2 linked regions of the Mytilus edulis genome follow. The protein of the gene in region 1 purifies or fractionates together with the protein of each later gene. This does not show direct contact. Links are inferred from orthologs where the notes say so. Each region holds a gene or a part of one and is shown in the gene's direction. Other genes may lie near its edges.

What was found.
Region 2: the proteins of sarcolemmal membrane-associated protein-like (region 1) and FGFR1 oncogene partner 2 homolog purify together in Homo sapiens (affinity purification with mass spectrometry; 3 studies listed by BioGRID and IntAct, with this or other methods). This does not show direct contact. The link is inferred for Mytilus edulis from reciprocal best matches to the Homo sapiens genes SLMAP and FGFR1OP2.

Annotation. Positions count from the first base shown.
Region 1 is NC_092344.1:98,979,624-98,991,344, reverse strand, and holds the start of sarcolemmal membrane-associated protein-like, read left to right. Parts: upstream 1-7,412; 5' UTR 7,413-7,486; intron 7,487-8,987; 5' UTR 8,988-9,017; coding exon 9,018-9,206; intron 9,207-11,721. Other genes in the region: protein DENND6A-like, read right to left, coding at 14-56, 909-947, 7,092-7,247. UniProt on the Homo sapiens protein: Associates with the striatin-interacting phosphatase and kinase (STRIPAK) core complex, forming the extended (SIKE1:SLMAP)STRIPAK complex.
Region 2 is NC_092350.1:79,886,621-79,898,512, forward strand, and holds the start of FGFR1 oncogene partner 2 homolog, read left to right. Parts: upstream 1-6,457; 5' UTR 6,458-6,526; exon of another isoform or gene 6,527-6,598; intron 6,599-11,892. Other genes in the region: caldesmon-like, read right to left, coding at 1-139, 939-1,059, 1,600-1,709, 2,074-2,239, 2,574-3,454, 4,362-4,386. UniProt on the Homo sapiens protein: May be involved in wound healing pathway.

The DNA of each region.
Region 1 (11,721 bases):
CCATAAACTTTACCTGAATTAGAATCTGGGAAAGACAGGTAACAGATGTTGGCTTTCTGAAAAAAATAACATGCAGTATTTTTAAATGATTTAAAATAAAGTTATGGTCAATCAATTTCAAAATCTACAATGCAGCTTTTTTTTACCTTTCAGGTTGGCGAGTATCTCAATAACAAAATTATTTATTATTCATATTCATTTAAGAACTACTGTATGCATGTTTAATTCTTTTCACTATTATTAGTTTATAACAAGTTGTTGAATGTAATTATATACATGATATAAGGATGTCCTGTTTTAGCATTAATATCCAGTCATTCTGTGTGTGTGGGTTTCTTTGGCTTGGTGTCACCCATAACTTGGCCTTTACATTTTGTTTCTGTCGCTGTTTGAATGTTTGTGCATTGCTTAATTATTTTCCAAAGAACATGGTTTCCCAATATGCCTATAGCTATAACACCACATTTGTAATACTATATAAAATCTATTCATATATCACCATAGCACATATTTGGCAATTAAACCTGCATAAACTAAACACTTGTCTAACCGTAACAAAATCTTTCATGAAAGACAGATCTGTAAATTGGTTGTAATAAATTTTCTACGTTTTTCTACAGTTTGGTAGTTAAGTCAACCAATATTGACATTATATATAGAATGTTCAAATTTTAAAAAATACACTTCTGTCTATGTTGGTGATCATTCCAGTAACCATATAGTCTTGCTTAATGAAATATCACTTGGTTTATGTTTACCATATCAGGTTAACTTTGTGTCAGCAATTCCATTTCTTTACTAATTGTTGCATGCAGTCTAACATAAAGAAATATGTCATTTTCAAAATTCTAACATAACAACATACATTGTTCATGTATATTTGAGGGGATATTTTGTCCTTGACCTACCTCAGCATCTGTTAACTTGACATGACTTGGATAAATAAGCTGAAATAAGAAAACATCTTTTGAAAGATATATAAAAATTAAAAACCAATTGTTCGGAGAACAATTGAAGGTCTTTCCATCAAAACAATGTATTTTGATATGAAAGTTGTGAAACGAAGTTTAAAATGTCATTTCAATCGTCAAATGATATAGCTTCTAGTACGCTGATTCCAAAAATAAATATTTGGTTTCCATACATTTTTTTTAAATAAGGGAGATAATTTGTTACTTCCTATTGAAAAATGTTACTTACGATTATATTTGATTATTTACTTGACACTGATTCCAAAAATATCTGGTTCTATATACTTTTATATTAATAAAGTACAAAAAATAGCTACTTCCGGTTTACAAAAGGTCACTTCCGGTTGTTTCTTTCAAGGTTAAATGGTTTGATACCTTTTTCCAAAAGTTTCATAGCTTTATCATGTATACATATAAAGTAAAAGCAAAGGTCAAAATCTAGAACGTCAAATTAAGCTATGACCTTGAGATCAATTTCAAGGTCATGATGAACTAAGGACCTCAAATCAAAAGACCATAGGTCTTAATTATATTTGGTTAATGACTTATATCACCAAACACGTATTTTTAAATACAAGAGGGGAGAAAACTCCCTTTTACGTTCAACGTGCCCTTGCAATAAAAATTTATGGGTTACGACATGTCGCAACTAACAATTTAGTAAAAATAATTTGTTGATATCTTATACGGTCTTTGAATATAAGTGAAAATAAGCCAAATTCAAATATTAGAATATGACCTTGACCTTTGACCTTGACCTAATTTTCAATTTTTTGGACCAAGGACCTCAAATCAAAAGATCCTAGGTCTCTATCACTTATGGTTTATAAGATAGAAATGCATATCACTTATATCAGATGCATAAGGGGAAATAACTCTCATATGGAGCGGTCATATTGCTTCGGTCAAAATAGGACAAATCATGCAAAGGATATAACGAGCAAATTTGTAAAATAAATTTGTCGTTATCTTTTACGGTTGCAAAGGAGTTGTGAGCACAAGGAAAACAGTGTTTGGGGAGATAACTCCTACAAAGAAAAGTATTCGGTTACGCAGGGTAAATTTCAAAAGCGCATAAACTGTTCGATATCATATACCAAATATCAAAGCGACATATTGTGAAACAAATGTTTATCGCAAGAACAAAATTTGGCGGAAGAAAAAAAAAAAAAAAAAAATAATCAGAAGAAAAACAATAGGTCTTTCCACAGAAAAGTGGAAAGACCTAAAAAACACATTTACATAAACTACAACATAGCATAATATAGCATTATGAGCATAATATAGCATTATGCTTTTTAGCTTATTTTCAATGTTTTTCTGAGGAAAATTACAGGACCTTGTTGCTTTGTGTCCCTGTCTTTGCAGCAGGTTCCCAACTTGGTTCCACTTAAGTTTATGCTGTCCTAGTGCCGGTATTCAATTAAGATCCCAAGTCAATTTCTTCCAATCTCCCTTACATATTTTTATAAATTTCAAGTTAACCCATAAGCTAGAGATTGTTGAGCATGTATTAGTCGTTTTAGCCATTTATAAGGAAAATAATGTCAGAACTGAATGCGAAACAAAGTTGAATAGCCCATTTGCACGAGGTCGTTATTTATTTATATCTTTACATAAGGCCACACCAATTTAATTTCTTGTTCTACGGATTTTTGGACTCCAAAATTTGGGGCGAGCGAGCGATTTGAAAATTTTAATAAAAAAATATTTAATTTGCAAATTTTTGAGGCGAAGCTTGAAAAGTAAAGGCGAGCGATTATAATTTTTTTTTTGTAAACATAAAATAGTAGGTTTTGACAATATTAAAGCTTGTACTTTGACATTTCTTTAATTTCTGAAGTATTTTTTCCCTGTTCACCAAGAAATAATCAAATCTGGTCTATGTATGTGTGACTGACAATGAGACAATTCTCCATCCAAGTCATAATCAGTTTGGGGACAACCCCTTTATGTTATAAATATCCCTTTTACATGTTTTATGAGGGATCAATATAAGTTATTATATATTTTTGTACAAAAGGGCTCATGTTTTCCCAAAGAACTATATACCTATCTGGTATTAAATGGTCAAAACATGTCCAAGAATTTTGTAATATTCCTGGACTTTAACCATGTTAATTAACACATTTACTTTAACAGTTTAATATTATTCAAAATAAGTGGACCCCTCTTTTAGAAAAAGTTGTTTAAAATATGATGTAACTCTTCTCTTTTTGAGTACAAAATTCTAAGTTTTCAAAGGTTTTGTATTGAAGAACTATACAAATCCTTGGTATTTCTATTTTCTTTTCTACATCAGTAAAATTACCCCTTGTCTGAGGGAGGGTTGTTCTCAACCTGATAATAACAAACACAGGTCAAAGTACGGCCTTTTACACAGGGCTTTGATACAGACCAAACAGCAGGCTATAAAGGATCCCAAAATTATTAGCGTACACAATTCAAACAGGAAAACCAACGATCTAATTTATATATCATGTATATCCAAACGGGAAAATACCAATGAACAACATCAACAAACGATAACTGCTGAACGACAGGCCCCTCGATCAATCAGGACAGGTGCATAAACATGCAGCGGTTATGGATAGTTTTGTTTCGCCAGCATACAATATAATTGCAGTTGAAGGCAAATCCGTCAGAAGTTCTTTGTACTTTATTCTAACAACGAAATTTTTTTGATAGGGAATATAAGTAAGGGGGAAAGTAACCAATTTTTTGTTCTTTACAGGTATTTCTGCTCTTATAAATTTATTATGGAGCACTCCCGCTTTGGATAAATAGGTTTCATGCTGAAACAAATATTCATATGGACAAGATTACATTTCCAGATGCGGGAAGCGGGAATATAAAAAAAATAAAAAAATTCTGTTTTGAAAAAAATAGGTGCGGGCGGGTCCGTCGAACAAGGAATCAAATTGGTGTGGCCTAACCATCAACAATATGAAGTTTCTCATCGGCATAGCAATGGCTGTAAAATAATTTAAAAATGTTCATGAATTACAAATTAGCAATCCAGTAGGCAATATAGAAATGGTGTACTGACATGAGTTATCTAAACATATTAGCTCCAACTTGAGCTTTCATCAGTAGAATCTGATACACTTTACAAACTTGCTATCAGTTCATGACTTTTTCCTGATTTAATAATTAAGAATTGAATGCTTCTTTTTGTAAATTTATTGGGGTGTAAAAGCGTTGACGGAAGTACATTTTGTATGAAGCGCGGAGGCGCTTCATTCTAAAAATGTACGCACAGTCAATCCGCGCTTCATTCTAAAAATGTACGCACGGTCAACGCTTTTACAACCCTATAAAGTTACAAAAAGAAGCATTCAATACTTATAATTACATTTTTTAGCTATGATTATGAAAACACGAATTTTATATATTTTATTATTTAATTCACCTGTGCACTTTATTGTTGGAGCACATGTTATCATGAATGAAAAGTTGTATTGAGCATTGCAACTGCTTACGGAATAACACGTGATGTGCAGTTAGCCAATCAGAATAAAATATTATAATGAAACATACATCTAATGTAATTATTCAATTATATCTTCCTCCCTTTATAACAATAAAAACAAGAATGTGTCCTCAGTACACGAATGCCCCACTCGCACTATCATTTTCCATGTTCAGTGGACTGTGAAATTGGGGTAAAAACTCTAATTTGGCATTAAAATTAGAAAGATCATATCATAGGGGACATGTGTACTAAGTTTGAAGTCGATTGGACTTAAACTTCATCAAAAACTACCTTGACCAAAAACTTTAACCTGAAGCGGGACAGACGGACGGACGAACGGACAGACGCACAGACCAGAAAACATAATGCCCCTCTACTATCGTAGGTGGGGCATAAAAACCCATGGCAGAACCATTAGCTAAGTGTTACTGAATTAGGGGTATAGCCAAAACAACTGTGGCCAATAAGGCTGTGTGGCTGAAACCTCCTCTAGTAATTAACTGAATTAGGGGTATAGCCAAAACAACTGTGGCCAATAAGGCTGTGTGGCTGAAACCTCCTCTAGTAATTAACTGAATTAGGGGTATAGCCAAAACAACTGTGGCCAATAAGGCTGTGTGGCTGAAACCTCCTCTAGTAATTAACTGCATTTGAATATTAATTTTGTGCAAACAAACCCAGGAGGTGAATGTTTAAGGGAGCGAACAGACTTACGATAATTTAATCATTGTGACAAAATTTACAGAAAGTGCACAAATTTGAAAGTCTTCTTCAGTTTCAGAAAACCACAACACATACTGATGTTTGCTTTCCAGCACATGCCTGGTAAAAAAATCAAATTTGTGAATTTTTTGAAAATATATTTCATGCTTTTTTATGTGCATTCAGAAAAGGCCATTGATGTCAGACAACTTTGTTGAGATTCTTGAAGATTTGAAAACAGCTTTGGATAAAAATATGTATGTGGCAGCTTTTCTAATGGATCTTTCGAAAGCTTTTGACTGTTTACCACATGATATTCTTTTAAGTAAATTATCTGCCTATGGTCTTTCTTCTAAATCAGTGAAATTACTTCAAAATTATCTTACAGATCATAGGCAACAAATCAAACTTCAGGGAGTACTCAGCAGTTGGACTGACATCCAGAAACGGGTACCCCAAGGCTCAATCCTGGGGCCCTATTATTTAATATTTTTATAAATGACATATTCTATTTTATTGAACATGGTACCCTGTATAATTATGCCGATGATAATACTCTGTCATATGCTGACAACAATTTTGAAAATTTATTATGTACACTTGAAAGAGAAAATGCTGTTTTAATTGACTGGTTTAGATTTAATTGTATGCAGGCAAATCCTGATAAATTCCAAGCCATTGCAGTTGGAAATAAAACATTTGCAAAAAAGCCTGTTTTTAATATACAGTCAGCAAAAATATCCTGTAATGAGATTGTCAAACTTTCAGGTATTGATATTGACTATCAACTTAATTTTAATCACCACATTAAAAATATTTGTTGTAAAGCATCCCAACAACTGAATGTTTTAAAGCGCATTGGCTGCTAAATTACAAAATTGAATAAATTGACCATTTTCCACACATTTATTTTTTGTCCTTTGGCATGGCATTTTTGCAACAAAAATAACACCACCAAATTGGAAAAAATTCAGGAAAGGGCTTTACGATTTATATATGAAGACTATGTTCATATGATGGACTACTTTTACAAGCAAAGGTTCCATCACTGAAAATAAGACGTACAAATGTATGCGTAACATGGCTATTGAGTGTTTTAAAAGTTGTATTGAAAGATTGTAAATATAATTTTAGATATTCTAATATTGTAGATATACCTAGGGTCCGAACATCAACCTATGGTAAGAATTCTTTTAAATACACAGCTGCTGTTTTATGGAATGATCTACCTGATGATTTTAGAAAAATTGCTAATTTTAGTCAGTTCCAAAATATTTTGAAGTCATGGAAGGGAAATGACTGTAAGTACACAGTTTGTGCAGATCTGTCATCTACATGTAGATCATACCCTGTTTTAAATATTTTATGCTATACATTTTGCCAGCTTTTATGCCTAGTTTACACCTATATGCTTATAGCTTTAATACCTAGCTTATGCTTATATTCTGCTTTTAGTGCTTCATTTTTGTGCTGTGAAATTTATTGCATGTGTATTATGTGTTGTATTGTTATAGATGTTGTATTGTTAAAAATGTTTCATATGTCAGTTAAAAGCTCATTACAGCTTATTTTGTCTATGTTTCAACTTTGTATACCTTGCCAACTCTAAATAAATCTTATTTATTTATTTTTTATTATGTAATGCATTAAAACTAAATGGTTAATCATAGTTTGTCATAGTTTTGTTATGTTAAATATTTGTTATTTTATCAATTTTTACAATTTTTCTTTGTTTATTTAGTGCAAATACAGTGTCAATGAGTTAAATATTTTTCCTTTCAAGTATGTTCGCTATTCTCACGATGGTGTTACTGAGAAAGGAGGATTATAAACACATACAATCGAGCATCGAGTTCACTGAAATCGGTACTAATGTTTATTTTTTTTCTATCAGCAGCTGTATTTATAAATCGAAAAGTCCAACGATACTGGGTTTCCCATACCTCCATGGCCTGACCTAATTCTAGGTCAAACGTAACAACACAAGCACAATATAACCAATTTGAAAATCTGTCCCATGGTAACATAGTGGGTGACTGTGGGCCATCATCTGGCGATTTTTCTCGATGGAAAACAGGTTCTTCTTTCGTTCCTGCCATTTTCGGCAGGTGTCCTTCACCTTTATTGTTGTTAGTCTCGAATCAAAAATCAATTATTTTAAGTTCTTCTGTTTCATTAAAAAATTACTAAAAGACTAATAATTTATATTTATTTTGTATAACCTAGTATTAATAATTTACTTTTACAAAGATTATAAGAATAATATTCTTTAGAGATTAAATCACACTAAAATTTTAAGATGGCTGCAGTCTCCTGAAAGGAAAGAAGAAAATGAATGGTAAGATATCAGTTTATTTCGATATGTTTTAGTTGTTTTTAGAAATTTTAGATAGATAAATAATGAACATAGGTGAATAAATATTTAGTTTCAACATGATACATCTATTATTATTGTCTCGAACTGGTGAAATAAACCCTTACACGAAATGTTATGGTAAGGTGCTTCCCTATAACTCAGACTATTCAGTATAATTTCAATAACAAATATTTTCAGTTAGAATGACTAATAAACATGTTCCTAATGTATTCCTGTTTAGGTTTTGCTTGAATTATATAGAAAGATGTGATGGTATTACTGTCCAGAAATATTTTCTTTCTGGGAACTGAGGGAAGTGAATACTGTCTTTTTTGTCAACACCAAAATGTGTTGTTATTTAACTTCTTGCTGCTGAGTTTTTTTCTTGTTTTGTTGTTTAAAAAGCATCTTGACGTTTCACATCTGTGACGTTGCAAATCTTTTGCCTCTCTGTAGAACAGCGTTTCCCCGCAATTCATAATTTTTCCAGTGTCAATGTAGCAGTAATTATCCTGAAAATATTTTTTTAAATATGAAAAGTTAATTGAAAATTATTGCTCTAAGATTGTTATCAACGTATTTTTAATATGTCAACATCATTTAAAAATTCAACTTTTAACCTTGAGATATAATATTTTTTATCTTTCTTGTCTTAAAAAAAGAATGTAAACTAGCTTTATACACGCTTTTGTTTTAATTTTGTCTAGTGAAATGCTTAACTGATTGTAACCACCTCTGAAATACTAAATTATATTACCCTTGTGATCTGTTACCTTATTTGATATTGTTATGATTGATAAATACTGTGAAAAATCTTGAAATAGTTATATAAACAAACATTGGCACCCAATGAAAATAAAAATTAAAAACAATGTTTGTACAAATATGAGTAAATAAAACTCTGAGCAGCCGAACTTCTTCTTGTAGTAGAGTATCAAAAGGTTCGGATTAAAATTTTCAATCTACGCCTTGTTTTGGTAGGCTAGGCAAGAAATTTTATAAACATTATTATCCATATTCATTTAATTTGTTATTGAATCTGGTTTATTATTAATTTGTTGACCACTAATTGCCTAAAATTGTAGAGAAATGTTTGCAAAAATAATTAAAAAAAACCCCAGAAAAACGAGAAGAAATTCTCTAAAACTATTTTCTAATGTCTACATTGTATTGTACATTGAAATAAACTTGAATCAATGATAATTCTTTTTCATTTTCTAAGATGAAGTACACACTGTATAAATTACCATACACTTAAATCTTTAAAATCTGTTGATATTGTTTGATAACTTGTTTTCTTCTCAATACTCAGTGGCAAGTATTCCATGCAATATTAAGGACTTCTGAGAATAAATATACAATACATTAGTTGCTCAATTGGTCCTATACAGAAGAAGATAGAAGATTAACTATTACCGGTATAAGAATTAAAAAAAATGAAGTTTTCTCAGTTCAGGCTCTATTATATCTTGTATAATTTTAGGATAAAGGAAGAGGTTAGCATAAGTCAGCCATGTCTGCAGTGGCTATTTTGTCCTGTCAGCCAAATTCACATCCATTTCGTGAGCGACATATTTCGCTTCATGAACCAGTCAAGATTGGCAGATCTGTAGCAAGAGCTAGACCGGCAAACAACAATGGCATATTTGATTGCAAAGTTTTATCCAGAAATCATGCCATGCTTTGGTATGAGAATGGCACAGTAAGTATATATGTATATGATGTATTTGCAGTTCTTGTGTGCTTGGTTTACAAAACATGTGTTCATACACTGCATTCCCTTACTTGGTGTGAAAGGTATTTGATAATGCTTATATATTACCATCAGTATATAAACAATTGTACCCTCAGTAACATTCTTGTATGCATCATTATGCTAAGCCAATCTTTATCCATCTTTCTAGAGCTTGAAACTTTATTTAATGTGATGGTCATAAATTCATACATGGAATTCAAAAGTCCCACAATGGATTGAAGGTGTGTGTATGTACTGTAGTTGGTGTATAGATTACCGCTTACTGTAACCTTATATGACACAATACTTATGAAATAAACATGTATTAATTATGTAATATCAAATCAGAGGCACTAGGTTTAGGTTTTCTTGTGGTACCATTAAAAAGGCTTGTAGGCACTTAGTGGTATATACATACACCAAAATCTTCAAAATTAAATCAGTGACTTTGAAGGAACACCTATTTTAAAATTGTGTGGTCCTAGGTTTATGGTCAAGGTCCCTAGTAGTATAGAAATTCTTGCAAGCATTGCAGAGCATTCAATAGCGTCTTTTCTATTGTGTCCAATCGTTTTCAAACTTTTTTCAATTGAATACAAGCAAGCAGAATAGGATAGCGGTATGAAATGTACAGCTTGTAGGTTAAAGATCAATGTCAAATGATGATTCTTTGATCTTTCTAAAGCAGGTATAACATAATGATAATCATTTGATCTTGCGATGTCAAATTGTGTGAATCTAATATTATGTGAAATTGAATGACTTATAAATATTAATTGAATTGAATTGACTTATTAAAAGCTAAAAACAGAATTTTTAAATTGTTATTTCAGACTAAGATAAGAAAATACATGTACCTATCAAATTAAACTCTGGCTGCCACTCTTTAATATAACATAAATGTATGAATAGGAGAATACAAAATAGTGATAAGAGAATTACTGTATTTGTCAGTAAAGCCAATATCAGGCATACTGATTTATAAATTGGCCAATCAATACATACCAGAAATAACTAGCAATATTGGTTTAAAATTTGATATTTAATACAATTATGGTCAAATTAATATTGATATTGACAAAGTGTTTGCTTATGATGAATTATAATTATCCTGTATGTCCCATTTAATCTTTACATTTATAGTAACTTTCATTATTTTATTTTTTCCCAATAAATTGAGAAAGCTGTCCAATTGTAAAAAGACTTGATGCTGACAATTGCTGATTGTTGATTGTTTTCAATAATTAAAATAATAATATACACATTGTTAAGATAAAACTAATTGATTGTGGACTGCTTAATGTCCAGTGGCAAATATTACATGTATTTTCAACATGAAACATTTGAAGATATTGCTTTGTTCAAGTCTATTGTGTTAAATTTAATCTTTAAGTTATAATACACAGAAACACTTCAAGGACACAATTTTCATATTTGCAAGAACATATGGTTTTGGTTGTACATAGTAAAATGAGACATAAATACAATCCTTCAATTACATTTTCAAATGATATAATACTTCTTAAGACTAGAAGGATTTTAAATACTAATATGAGAGACTCTTCAAGTTGATACTCTAACCTGTAAATGGAACATTTTAATGCATGATTTAAAATATCAATTTGACATATTTACCAGTGAAAAAGGGTCCAAAGGTAAGGAAAGAAAAATGACACTGAATAAACCAGACTATCAAACATTTAATTACAACTTGCAGTCACATTACAGGGGAAAGATTTTCCTGTTTTTATTGCAAAAAGAGGTGTTGAAATATAAAATACAGAGCATACTGAATTATTGTTTTTTTTTTGTTTTATTGTTATTGTTTAATTATTTGTGGAACGTTTACTCAGATAATCTCCCTACATATGAATTTCTAATTCACATAAAATTCCATTTAAAAATCACATTCACTATAGATGGTTGATTTAGGGACTTCTTTTGAGAGGTTCTAGACTGGTATCCAGGGTTTTCTTTTAAGGAAATTTGACTGGTTTCCAGTCAACTGGCATCTTATTCCCTTTTGCTAAAAATAGATTATAGTTTATATTGGGACTCATGGATGCTGTTTTGAATAAGTATGAAATTTCATGTATTTTTGAATTGAACTATTTGACATCTAGGCAACTGTTGTAACATCCTGTGTAGCTATAGTAATCAAGTGGATAAGCAGAATCTTTTGTTGTTAATTGTACCTTAATGTAGAATACAGGTGATAAACATAACCCATCTATAACTAATCATTGCTAGTTATATAACCTATCATATACCAAGTCTATGTATGTTGGAATGTAACAAGACAGGTAAAACTTAAGTGCAGGGATATTGCTTGTTACTATATAAATGACCTTCAGGTGAATTTGTTAAACAGATTTTGAGGAGGGGGGTCCCGGCCCTCCTTTTTAGGAAAAAATTTTGTTGATTATATAAGAAATCCCTGGTGTATGACTGGAGCAAGTCGCCTTGGTATAGGCAGTCAGTG
Region 2 (11,892 bases), on another chromosome or scaffold:
CTGGTAGACTTTGATATTGTGGTCTCATGTGTTTCTTTCAATGGAGTAAAAAATGGCTTAAGTCTTGGTCTGGGTGGTTCCTCGATATCACTGAGTGTGAACCATTCACTGTTTGATGTTCTTGCTGTATCTGGTTGGTCTAAATCAAAGAAAAATTAGAAGAATTATTATAAGTTATAACATTAAGTTTTGTTGTATTTTTATTACCGGTAATACAAAGTTATAGTACCGATCCTTTATATACCACATGCAGGGCAAATGTTTCTGGATCAATAATACGCTAAAGACCAGAAGTTTGACAGGCGAAATGAAAATTTCAGATATCAAATTCAAAAAGATGAGCAACATAACAATCATTAGTTTTTTAATCTATATTGGTGCAACCATGATTTATTACGACGCATGCAATATTGATTTGATTTAATCGAGTCGTAAAACTAGTGATTATGTCCTTTTGGATGGAGGGTACCCTAATGTACTGACATTCCGTTTATAGCTGTGCTGCTTCATCAGATACGCTTGACGTATCTGTTGAAGCCGCTTGACATATCTGTTGAAGCATTTTTAGTATCATAATAGCCAATTACGGGTCTCCTTTCTGATCTTTCTATTTTGCTCAATAAACTGATTGAGAAAGGTTATAGTTAAACCACTATTGTTGTTATTAAAACTACATCTTTTAGTCTTGGAAGACAAATAATATAAAGTTGGATCCCCCTTTCTTTAAATATTCAATTTGCGCACCTCAAATTAATTGGTACTGTGTTTTCAAATTCCCATATCAGATTCAACAACAATAACAACAACAACAACAACAACAACAAACAAGAGGATGGGTGTTCTTGACAACTTGTATAACATAAACAAGAAGAACAACAACAACAACGAAAAAGACAAGTTATAAAGTGAAATAATTGTAGTTTGACTGAGGTTATTACCTTCATCTTCATCATGTTCATGGTCATCCTCTTTTTTATCGTTCAAAAATGTCAAATCTAGCTTCAATTCTTCTGGGTCTATCTGTTTAGCACTTAAATCAGCTGTCGTCGATTTGCTTCTCTGAAAATAAAAATAAATCAATTTAAATACTATTTTTCATCAAAATAAAATATCAATTGTGTTTTAAATGTAAAAAAAATGGTAAATTGTCAATGCCAAGGTAAGTAGACGCGTAATGCATATGAATAAACAGAGATGCGGGGTGTACGCAATAGTGAACAGAGATACGGGATATATACAGTAGTGGACAGAGACACGGGGTATATACAGTAGTGAACAGAGATACGTTGTATATACAGTATACGTAGTTAACAGAGATACGGGGTATATGCAATAGTGAACAGAGACACGGGGAATATACAGTAGTGAACAGGGATACGGGGTATATGCAATAGTGAACAGAGATACGGGGTATATGCAATAGTAAACAGAGATACGGGAAATATACAGTAGTGAACTGAGATACGGGATAATTAAAGCAGTGAAATGAGATACGGGATATGAACGACAATAAAATGAGATACGGGGTATACAACAATAAAAAAAGCTATAATCTAACTAGAAATATAATAATAAAATTGAGAATGAAAATATCTTTACCTTGAACATCCTGCTTACGAAGCGTCTAACGGAGCTTGTTCTCTTTACGTCATTGGTTCTGTCGGCCTCTAGTATTTCTGCATCACTTCTTGTTCTTATGCTGATGTGTCCTATCAAATATATTGTTATAGTTTTTAAAGTACTTCAGCCTTAGTATTTTAGTCACGTGTTCTGAAAGGATCTTAAAGCATAATATTAGTTATATGGTTGCGACTAGCCCTTTACCGTTTCAAAGAGAGAAATTAAAATCAAAAGAGGATCTGGTCGAATTCATATTTTCGGTCGAATCTCCTTTTGCTTTTACTTAGTACCCTTTGTTGATACGTATATAGGGAGTTGATGAAATTGTTTGTTCTAACAACTTTAAATTTGTATTAAGTTTCCTGGGGACTCATCTTGTCTGCTTATAGTTAGCTATAATACTATATAGTAGAGAGCATAATCAATCAATATCTTAAATTATTATAAACTTACTATTTTCTTTATTTTCTTCTGTATCTCTATGTTTTATGGCATGTGATAGTTCAAGTTTTCGCTGGAGATCTTTTTGTTCTTCGGTGAAAGCTTTCACTCTCTCGTGAAGTTTTGAGACTGAGGATTTCAGCATTATGTTGTATTCAGTATTGCTGCTACTTGGATACTATAAAATAAACAGCCCAATAATATAGCATTAATATTGTGTAATACACTAGTCATTTTCTTTTCTACAAAATCGAAACAAACTTTCGAGAAATCAAGTGAATATACCTAGTCATGAATAAACTTTTTAACAATTTACATACATTTTGTACATGTATTATAAAATCTAAAAACTTAACATTACCAACACCAACAATGACTGGATACGATCGCATAGAACAATTATATAATGATTCAAATTTAGGACTTCGTACCAATACATACTGATTTATTATTTTCATTATTTATTTATATTTTTTAAAAAGGATGCAACATTATAGTATATTTTTAAATACCAGATTGTAATGCTCTTTTGATGGACCTGGTACATATGAGGCCGATAATGGACTGACTGCAGGTTTATGAAAATCCTCAAACATCTTTCTGATCTGTTCCTGTCTTTTTTTCTCTCGTCTCTCCTCTCTTTCTTCTTTCCATATTTTCTCTCTTTCAAATGCTTCAACAAGTTTTTGTCGCTCTGCATCCCTAACCGATTGGAAGAACGCTACACGGTCCTTCTCACTAGCTGTTTCTTCTGTTAGTGCCTCTGTTTCGACCTGATTGTTCAAAATCTCCTCTGTAATAATTATCTTTGGTTTGGCTTGAACGTCCCGATTCTCTACTTTGTCGACTTGTGTGTTCAGTGTTGACATAAGTCTATCAAGCTCTTTAAGTCTGGCTTCTCCAAAGAAAGCAATTATTTCCTCATCACTAGCTGTTTCTGTGTTCTCTGCTTCAGCATTTTGTTCTTTCACTGTTGCAGTAAGTCTCTCAAACTCTTTGATTCTGGCATTTCCAAAGAAAGCAATTCTTTCCTCTTCACTCGCTGTTTCTGTGTTCTCTGCTTCAGCGTTTTGTTCTTTCATTGTTGCAGTAAGTCTCTCCAACTCTTTGGTTCTGGCACCTCCAAAGAAAGCAATTCTTTCCTCTTCACTCGCTGTTTCTGTGTTCTTTGCTTCAGCATTTTGTTCTGTCATTGTTGCAGTAAGTCTCTCAAACTCTTTGGTTCTGGCATTTCCAAAGAAAGCTTCTCTTTCCTCTTCACTTGCTGTGTCTGTGTCCATTGCTTGTTGAACTGACACTGCATCTGATTCTGTTTCGCTGCAAGCAGCATGCAATACAGATAAGATAAATCCGCTCAAGTTGCGTTCAAAGATCGCGTTATCTTCATTCATACCTGAAAATGGCACAACGATATATTAAAGGCCAGGCTGACGGCAAAAAAAAAACCACCATATTATAACACAACTGATTGTCCCATGTCAATTGACAAGGTTCGTTTATCCAAGTCGGCTTATCCAAACAAAATTTCAGTTTAATTTTATATTCCATATTTCCAGCTTTTCCGTAATAGTATATCAGAAAATTTTCCACTTCATTTATTCTTATAAGAATAAATGAAGTGGAATATATATATATATATATATACAGAAGTATCTATGAAAGCGTGTTTGATGGTGCCGAGTAGGAATTCTTAACCGCCAAACTTTAAATCACCGCTAAGTTCCGTTTTTTTTAATTTATATTTTTTCATTGTTAACGTCAAAAATGGAAATAATTTGAGCCTAATAACTTGTTTTGCCCTAAATCAAGAGTAAGGCCTTAATTATGTAAGACGCTTAAAACTTTCCTGAAATACCAACTAAGATCATATTCTTTTTAATGCCACTTATTTATAATACTAGTAATTGTAAAGGTTTTTCACATCTCCATAAAACATTAAATGCAAAACTAAATCGTCATATACAGTATCGTATTACTAAAAGTAAAAAGCCGCGTAGACGGCCGAGGTGAAAATGGGGAAAGGGTGTTCAACCATATGAATAAATATATAGTTTAACGCTGATATTTTCCTACCGTATGCGCAAAGCTGAAGCGCACACAAACAAACCATACATTTGAAACCAATCGTTATATAGAAGTACATATTTTGAAGCACGAACAATCGAAAGCTGTTGAATGCATCTTGTGACATTCGCAATCATTACAAGTTTCGATTGCATATATCAAAAAAGATATATTCCAAAAAGACGCAGTTGACATGCAATAATAAAATTTCTAAAATAAGAATAACTAATACTTACTAAAATCTTTAATTTCCTTATTCATCTTCTAGATAATACGTAATTCTTTCTTTTTTCCTCCTCGTTCTCTTTGCATAAAATAAATATAAACTGTTTCGCTCGACAACAACGTTGCTACTGAAGATATTATGACGTCCGACGTCAATCGAAGTCGTCACTAATTTCCTCCTTACTTCGCGACGGAAAGAAACGCTAAATGTAAATATAATCCGCGATGATGTATATATTCCATTAATTTTAATGCAGTTTTGAAAATTGTAAGCGAGGAAAGCGTAAAAAATATATAAATTATAAATTAAAAGCAGTCATGATATTACGATTAATTTTTTTGAAAAATCGGACGATCATTTCTGAGTTATCGCTCTTTGGATGTCAATAGTCAGCGAATTGCGCCATGTTTTGATCGGTTTCTTCAAAACTATTATGATCTTGAAAACAATTTGATTATCATTAAGACAACCTCACTCATATATCAAATTGACAGAAATTGTAAATATACCCGTTAAAGATGTTATTGACCATTGTGAATAATAATCTTGAATAGAGATCTATTTTCTCTTTTTGCGGTGTTTGTTAAAATTTTGAAAAAAAAACAATAGATAGATTCTCAAACCCCTAAAAACCATTCGCTAGATTTATAGGATATACAAATAACTTGATGTGGTCGGAATCTTCAGTAGCCTCAGTATATGAATTATTGCCTTTCATTGCTGATTTGACACATTTTTTGCATTTTTGCGATAACTTTTGTAGAAATTAACTACTCCAAATTCTCCACCTCGATCTCCATGAAAATCTACAATTGATAAAGTTATGGATTGTTTTTTTTGTTTTTTTTTGTTTTTTAATTTTGTAATATTTGCAAAGAATTACAAGAGTGCACACGCTGAAATGTCTCGCCTTCTTTACTTACCATTGATTTTATGTTGAAAGGCATAAATATAAAGCTTTATCCTGCAATTAGCCTACTATTGTACAAATAACAGGTATACAAATTCATTTTTGCTTTATTTGTACATGTACAGATGACACCTACAAGTTGGACGTTTAAACAAAATAAGCATTCAATACACCAAACATATTAGACTTATTGCTTAAAGTATCTGATATATGGACTTGACCACAAAAACTTAACCGTGGTCACTGATCCATGAAATGAGGTCAAGGTAAAATGAAAACTGTCAGACGGTCATGAAGACCTTGTTAGGTACGCACATACTAGTATATAAGAATTGTCATAATGTCATTTGTTATAATTAAATCACCAATGAATTTATTTCAGCAGAAAACAATAAGAACCTGAGGGAGCAACCATTTAGCTTTAAAGGGGGGGGGGGGGGACATGTTTTTAGTTTGAGTCAGATTTTTTCTCTCACGCCAAGCGCTTTGCCGCTATCAATCAAAGTTCAAAATTTAACACTAGAAGGTATGGTGAAAATCTGGATTCAGAATACTATCTTAAGTCCTCTGCTTGAATAGAATACTGAATATTTTTTCATCAATTTGGGAAACAGAATATTTGTTTACGAAAAAAAAAATTAGCACCCTCCGGCCTTTTGAAGTTCAATGGTCGTTCCCTAAACATATTCCACTTAAACCTGGGAATATATATATATATATATAAGTTCTCGATTTGAACTTAATATTTTTCATACTACCATGATCTACCATGTCTATATGTAATAATGAAATGCACTTTTCTTTTTTCATTGACAATACAAACTTTTTACATGTTTACTTTAAATTATAATTTTAAAAATTAAATTATGAAAATTTACATAGACTCGATTAATTATGAGTGGAATTGACCTTTTATATAGCTAACAATATATACGGCCAGAGATATATGTCTCTGTCTGAGACATATGTCTCTGTCTGAGACATATATGTCTCTGTCTGAGACATATGTCTCTGTCTCTGATACGGCTTTATAGGATGACCAACAAAACTGTTATTGAAATTTTCCAGTGGGATCCTTTATAGTGCGCTAGAAGCTGATTGCATTTAAAAATATATTTGTGTTTCTATTTTACAACGTTTTAACAGAAATCAGTATAATGAAGTGTATCTCATCTGATTTAAAAATTTAATAATATCGGGATCGTATACTAAGGTTTTATGATGTCCTATGACTAAGATCAACTTCCTGTTTATTTTGACAGAAGGTAAAAAAAAATATGTTTTGAAAACAACTTATTCAATCACAACTCTCACGCAATTTACTTGCAACATTTTAGGTAATTGTCGAAACTCTGAAATTTATTTTTCTTCAGAGATACTTGCACTTTAGAGTTGGCCACTATTCAAAATTGTCATTGCCATTTGCATTGGTTTTGGCACAGGGGCTTGTTTAGTGGGTCTGACGAGGTTTTACTGTCAATGGCGATCGCTATCCTATATAAAAAACCAAGTATATTAAAGTTAGATATACTGTTCCCAGGTTTGGGCTTGGGTTACCATACATTGATAGCCCAAAAGAAATCACTAGCCTGCATTTCTTAACAAATATCGTTTCATAGCTCTGTCAACTGCCAGACTACTTTTGTGTATTGAACTTTCATGACCTTGCCTTGGAATGTGTATTGCAGTAGCATTTCAACAAGTCTGCTGGAAGTTATTGAAATGCTTGACAATACACCTTATCGCTAATCCCGGCTGACCCGGCCGCTTGAACTGGTCCGAGTACACAGTTATCGTCCTTTGATTTTCGTTGTCCACGAATATAGTCCTTAATGTGGACAGTGTGTTACTTGCCAATTTATGTTATACCCCTTCCAAATTTAATTCTCCATGTTTTATGCCTCATATAGCAAGTTGGGGGGTGAAATGACACTGTAAAAAAATTTGGGTCATAAATATTTAGGTAAAGTAGTGATAAGGTCCAGCTGAAAAAGGTCAAAAATTAGCACTTCGGAAGCTGTCAAAAGATTTCAAGACCCCCTTAACACAAAATTGTCCATATTTTGACTTAGAGCTGATGAAGTTTTCTATAATTTTGATATAATTTGTCCCAAAAGTAGTACAACACACTGTAAAAATGTTATTGAGAAAGCGCAGGTGAGATTTTTTTTATTTACATTTATTGTCTAAAAGAAATGCACTACGAAATAACTGTGTACTCGGACCTAAGAGGTGAAATCAGGAAATATAGAATCTGTACTTTGGCAACTTCCCTGAATGATCTGATGGTGTCAATTTGTCAAATAGCATAAAACTAAAGGATTTAAACTTTTATTTGATAGAATTTCTGCAAAAATTACCAATTTTGGCATTATATGGTCAAAATAAGCATTTCATAGCTTTTTCAATTTTGATGCATAAGTGGCATTTTGACTTTCTATCTGACATGTTTTCATGTGTCAATTTTTGTGTTTCTATGCTTTAATCCAGTTGTATTACTCATTTGTGAACTCTGAATCTACAGAAAAGAAGATTATCTCAGACAATATGAGCAAAGTGTGTTGTATAAATGACCCTCATCTAACGCCCTGTTTGGATCAAGTTAAATGTGAGGAGCATGGTACATAAAAGTTGAAGTCCATAATAAAGACCTCACTAAAATTGTATAAAAAGCATTTAACAATGTCTTTTGTACCTGTTTCATTTCACATAATATCTTTCTTTACCTCTGTAGGATACCATGTGGTTCAAATATAAGCCTGTTGAGACTAAAATTGATGCAAGTATTTCACTAAAAAGTGAAAAATCTTTGTATCAGACCATACTGTCTGCTCAAAAAGTTGAATGTAATAGGCTTTTTGTGCTCAGATTTATTGTATCATGTCACCTGAGTATAGAAATGATAGAAAAGACACAATTTTTTATTTCCTATAGCTTCAATATGCATTTTTAAATGTAAATATGTGCTACGGCCTAAATTGACCCTAAATTATTTTTAGTCATACTTGGCCTAAGACCCTTTTAAACTAATATGATATGTTATTTGTAAGTTTTCTTTCCATTTAAAGTACATTAAGTACATATGTAAGGATAATTTATAATCAAAATGCTTCACAAATTTAAAATTGCTGGAAAATATTACATCTTCATGTAAGGCTCCCCTTCATTAGAAAACCTCCATTTTTAGGCACAGGCTCATATAAATTTGACTTTTGAAAAATTATGCTAAGTCTGATATATAAAATGAGTACTGAATTGCTTTAAATACATGATGTATTATATATTAAGGCATTTTAAAAGTATTTTTTTGCAATTTTTTAATTTTAAAAGCCCCAAATGTTGATAGTTGAAATTTCTCAATTTTAACGTCCAAATTTAACACGTAAAGTTGAATATAGAATTAATCATAGTGTCTATAATATATATCCTATTGCTATGAAACTTTGTAAGCAGTCTTATAATATATTAGGCTTTTGTCATACCAAGTTTTATAAAGATTGGGCAACTTTTTCTATCCTATTAGGTCCGAGTACACAGTTATCGTCCTTTGATTTTCGTTGTCCACGAATATAGTCCTTAATGTGGACAGTGTGTTACTTGCCAATTTATGTTATACCCCTTCCAAATTTAATTCTCCATGTTTTATGCCTCATATAGCAAGTTGGGGGGTGAAATGACACTGTAAAAAAATTTGGGTCATAAATATTTAGGTAAAGTAGTGATAAGGTCCAGCTGAAAAAGGTCAAAAATTAGCACTTCGGAAGCTGTCAAAAGATTTCAAGACCCCCTTAACACAAAATTGTCCATATTTTGACTTAGAGCTGATGAAGTTTTCTATAATTTTGATATAATTTGTCCCAAAAGTAGTACAACACACTGTAAAAATGTTATTGAGAAAGCGCAGGTGAGATTTTTTTTATTTACATTTATTGTCTAAAAGAAATGCACTACGAAATAACTGTGTACTCGGACCAACTTGTGACACATACAACAATCACTTTTTATTGTGGGGTCAGATATTTTGTTTTACAGACATCAAAATTTTACAGGAACCTGTGTGATATCCAGTAAATGCAGTAATGGTGGACAAATAGCGATAAGGTGTAATTACTAATATTTGTATATTCGAAGACATACTGGACATTTTATAGAGGGGATCAACCTACATTCCAACATATCCTTGTGTATTGTATTTTCCACCTACCAAAATATTTCTCTGCCATTGTCTGCTGAAATATTTGTTTTTGTTCTTCAACTTTAATTAATTTTAATTTGCATCAACCAAATGCTATGAAACTTATTCACAATGCTAAGGCCACGGTTTTTTAATTTGTTTGTTTACGGATTTTCTCCATGAAAAAGTCGGGTCGGTCGGTCGGGAAAAAATAAAAAAAATATCTTTCAAGACAGAAAACTGATATGCAAAATAAATATATATTTCACCTTTCTAATAATATGTTTGTTATCCTATTTTGTCATCATTTCTTAAATTTTAGTTTAATGAAATATTATTGCTCAGTTGTAATAAAAATTGCATGACATTGCCTAATAATTTTCCGAAAAAAAGGGGGTGCACGGACAAAGACGTAATTAAATTTCATAAAGGAAGACAAATTCACATAGCTCTTAATCAATTCCAGAAAACTTGGTGAATAATGATCTTCAAGAACGAAAACTTATAAAGAAATAAATGTAAAAGCGTGGTAAGAAAATAATTTTCAACACACGCGTCAAAAACGTAATAGACTCGTCCACTGGAAAAAACGAGAATATCGGGTTAATCTGTTGTCACGCATTCCCGTTTTTATCCAAATGGACGAAATTTTTTTATTATCTATGAAACAAGAAAATTTTAAATGATCTGTTAATATTCAGTACTTTAACTTGATGTCCTGAACTTCCACCTGTCCACATTTGGACAAGTCTATTTCTATGAGAAGATGCATCTTACGGACTGTTGACAAATAAGAGAAACGAACTTATTGTGTAATTGGTTTTAAACAAGGGTTTCGTTCCACAAAAATATTTCTCCAAACGACATGTCAAGGTCATTAATAATCGATTTTTCTATTTTTAGAAACGTAAACTGGAAGTTTCATTTTTTCACAACAGAAAGTGTTATCAATTCTGTTAGTGATTAATGCATTTCATTTATAAAAAAAGGATAATTTATTTATTTTTCAGGGATAATGCATTTGTTAGGGTCGGTGGGAATGAAAAAGCATGAAAAGTCAATTTTATTTTTATTCTGGAAATAGGCAAAATCAGGTCGGCGGATCCGTAAACCAACAAATTAAAAAATCCTGGCCTAATTAACAAAAAGCGCAGATCAAGTTTGAAATTTGTAGGCCTTATTTTGACTGTATGCCCTTTATAAATGAAAAAAATGCTGAATTTTTTGTTTCTGTTTCCTAACTTAAGTAATGTACATGTAAGTTGCATTGACTAAATGTTATAAAACTTATCATGCATATTACAACAAAACTCAGTCGGAATACAAATTTGGGTATTGCCACATTTACAGTTCTTGAGTTACAAAATTTATGTATGTCCCTTTATAACTTCACATGCAAGCGCGGGCATCATCTGTGACCCATGGACTTGGAAATTGTTAAAGCAACAAACATGACAAAGGCTGAAAGAGGTTATTGTTTGTAATTGATACATATACAAACTACAATGTATATATATAAGTTAAATTCATACAAGTTAATGGGATAACCAATTAAAAAATATTAATATTATAATTGAGAAAACATCAAACTGAAAGCCAACTGATTATTGTCAATGTGCATTCTTGATGTTAATAACATATAATGTACATTTTAAATAATGTATGAACATGATGAAATGACCCTCTACAATTGTAAATTTGCAAACAATTATTCTCAAATAAAAATGAAAGAAAAAAGGTGAAAATAGACATGATAGAATCATGAGAATTAGGGCCAATTTTACCAGAGGCCAAGTTTACTTTTTTACAGCTATGCTTTGATTTGTACCCCATAACACATACAATGTAGTCACTACTAGTCAGCTATAAATGGCCCCAAAATGACAATGTAAAACAATTCAAACGAGATAAGTAACGACCTTAATATTTATCTTCAAAAAATGAACAAACTAAAAACAAATATGTAACACATAAACAAACGACAACCACTGAATTACAGGCTCCTGACTTGAGACAGGCACATACATTGTACATATATATAATGTGGTGGGATCTTAACCCTCCCCCTAACCTGGGACAGTGGTATAACAGTACAACATTAGAATGAACTATAAAAATCAGTTGATAAAGGCTTAACTCATCAGATGGACCATTTGATTACTAGCACAAAGGTTCCTGGTTTGGATGTCTGTTCTGGTGAGAAAATTTCAGGAACTGAATTTTCAGCTCTCATGACACCAATCAATTCCAATTGCAAGTATGGCCTTGTGCAACAATAATCATCCATCAGAAGAGGATAAATGGATAACCCGTGTTAAAAGAAAGTCATACATGTATCTGTTGCACTTATTTTCTGGATTCCTGCATTTGTGTGAAAATGAATTTAATGATATATACAATGTATCAATTTTATTTGGCAATCGCCAATGGCAGTCAGCAGGGTTAAAGAACATCAGT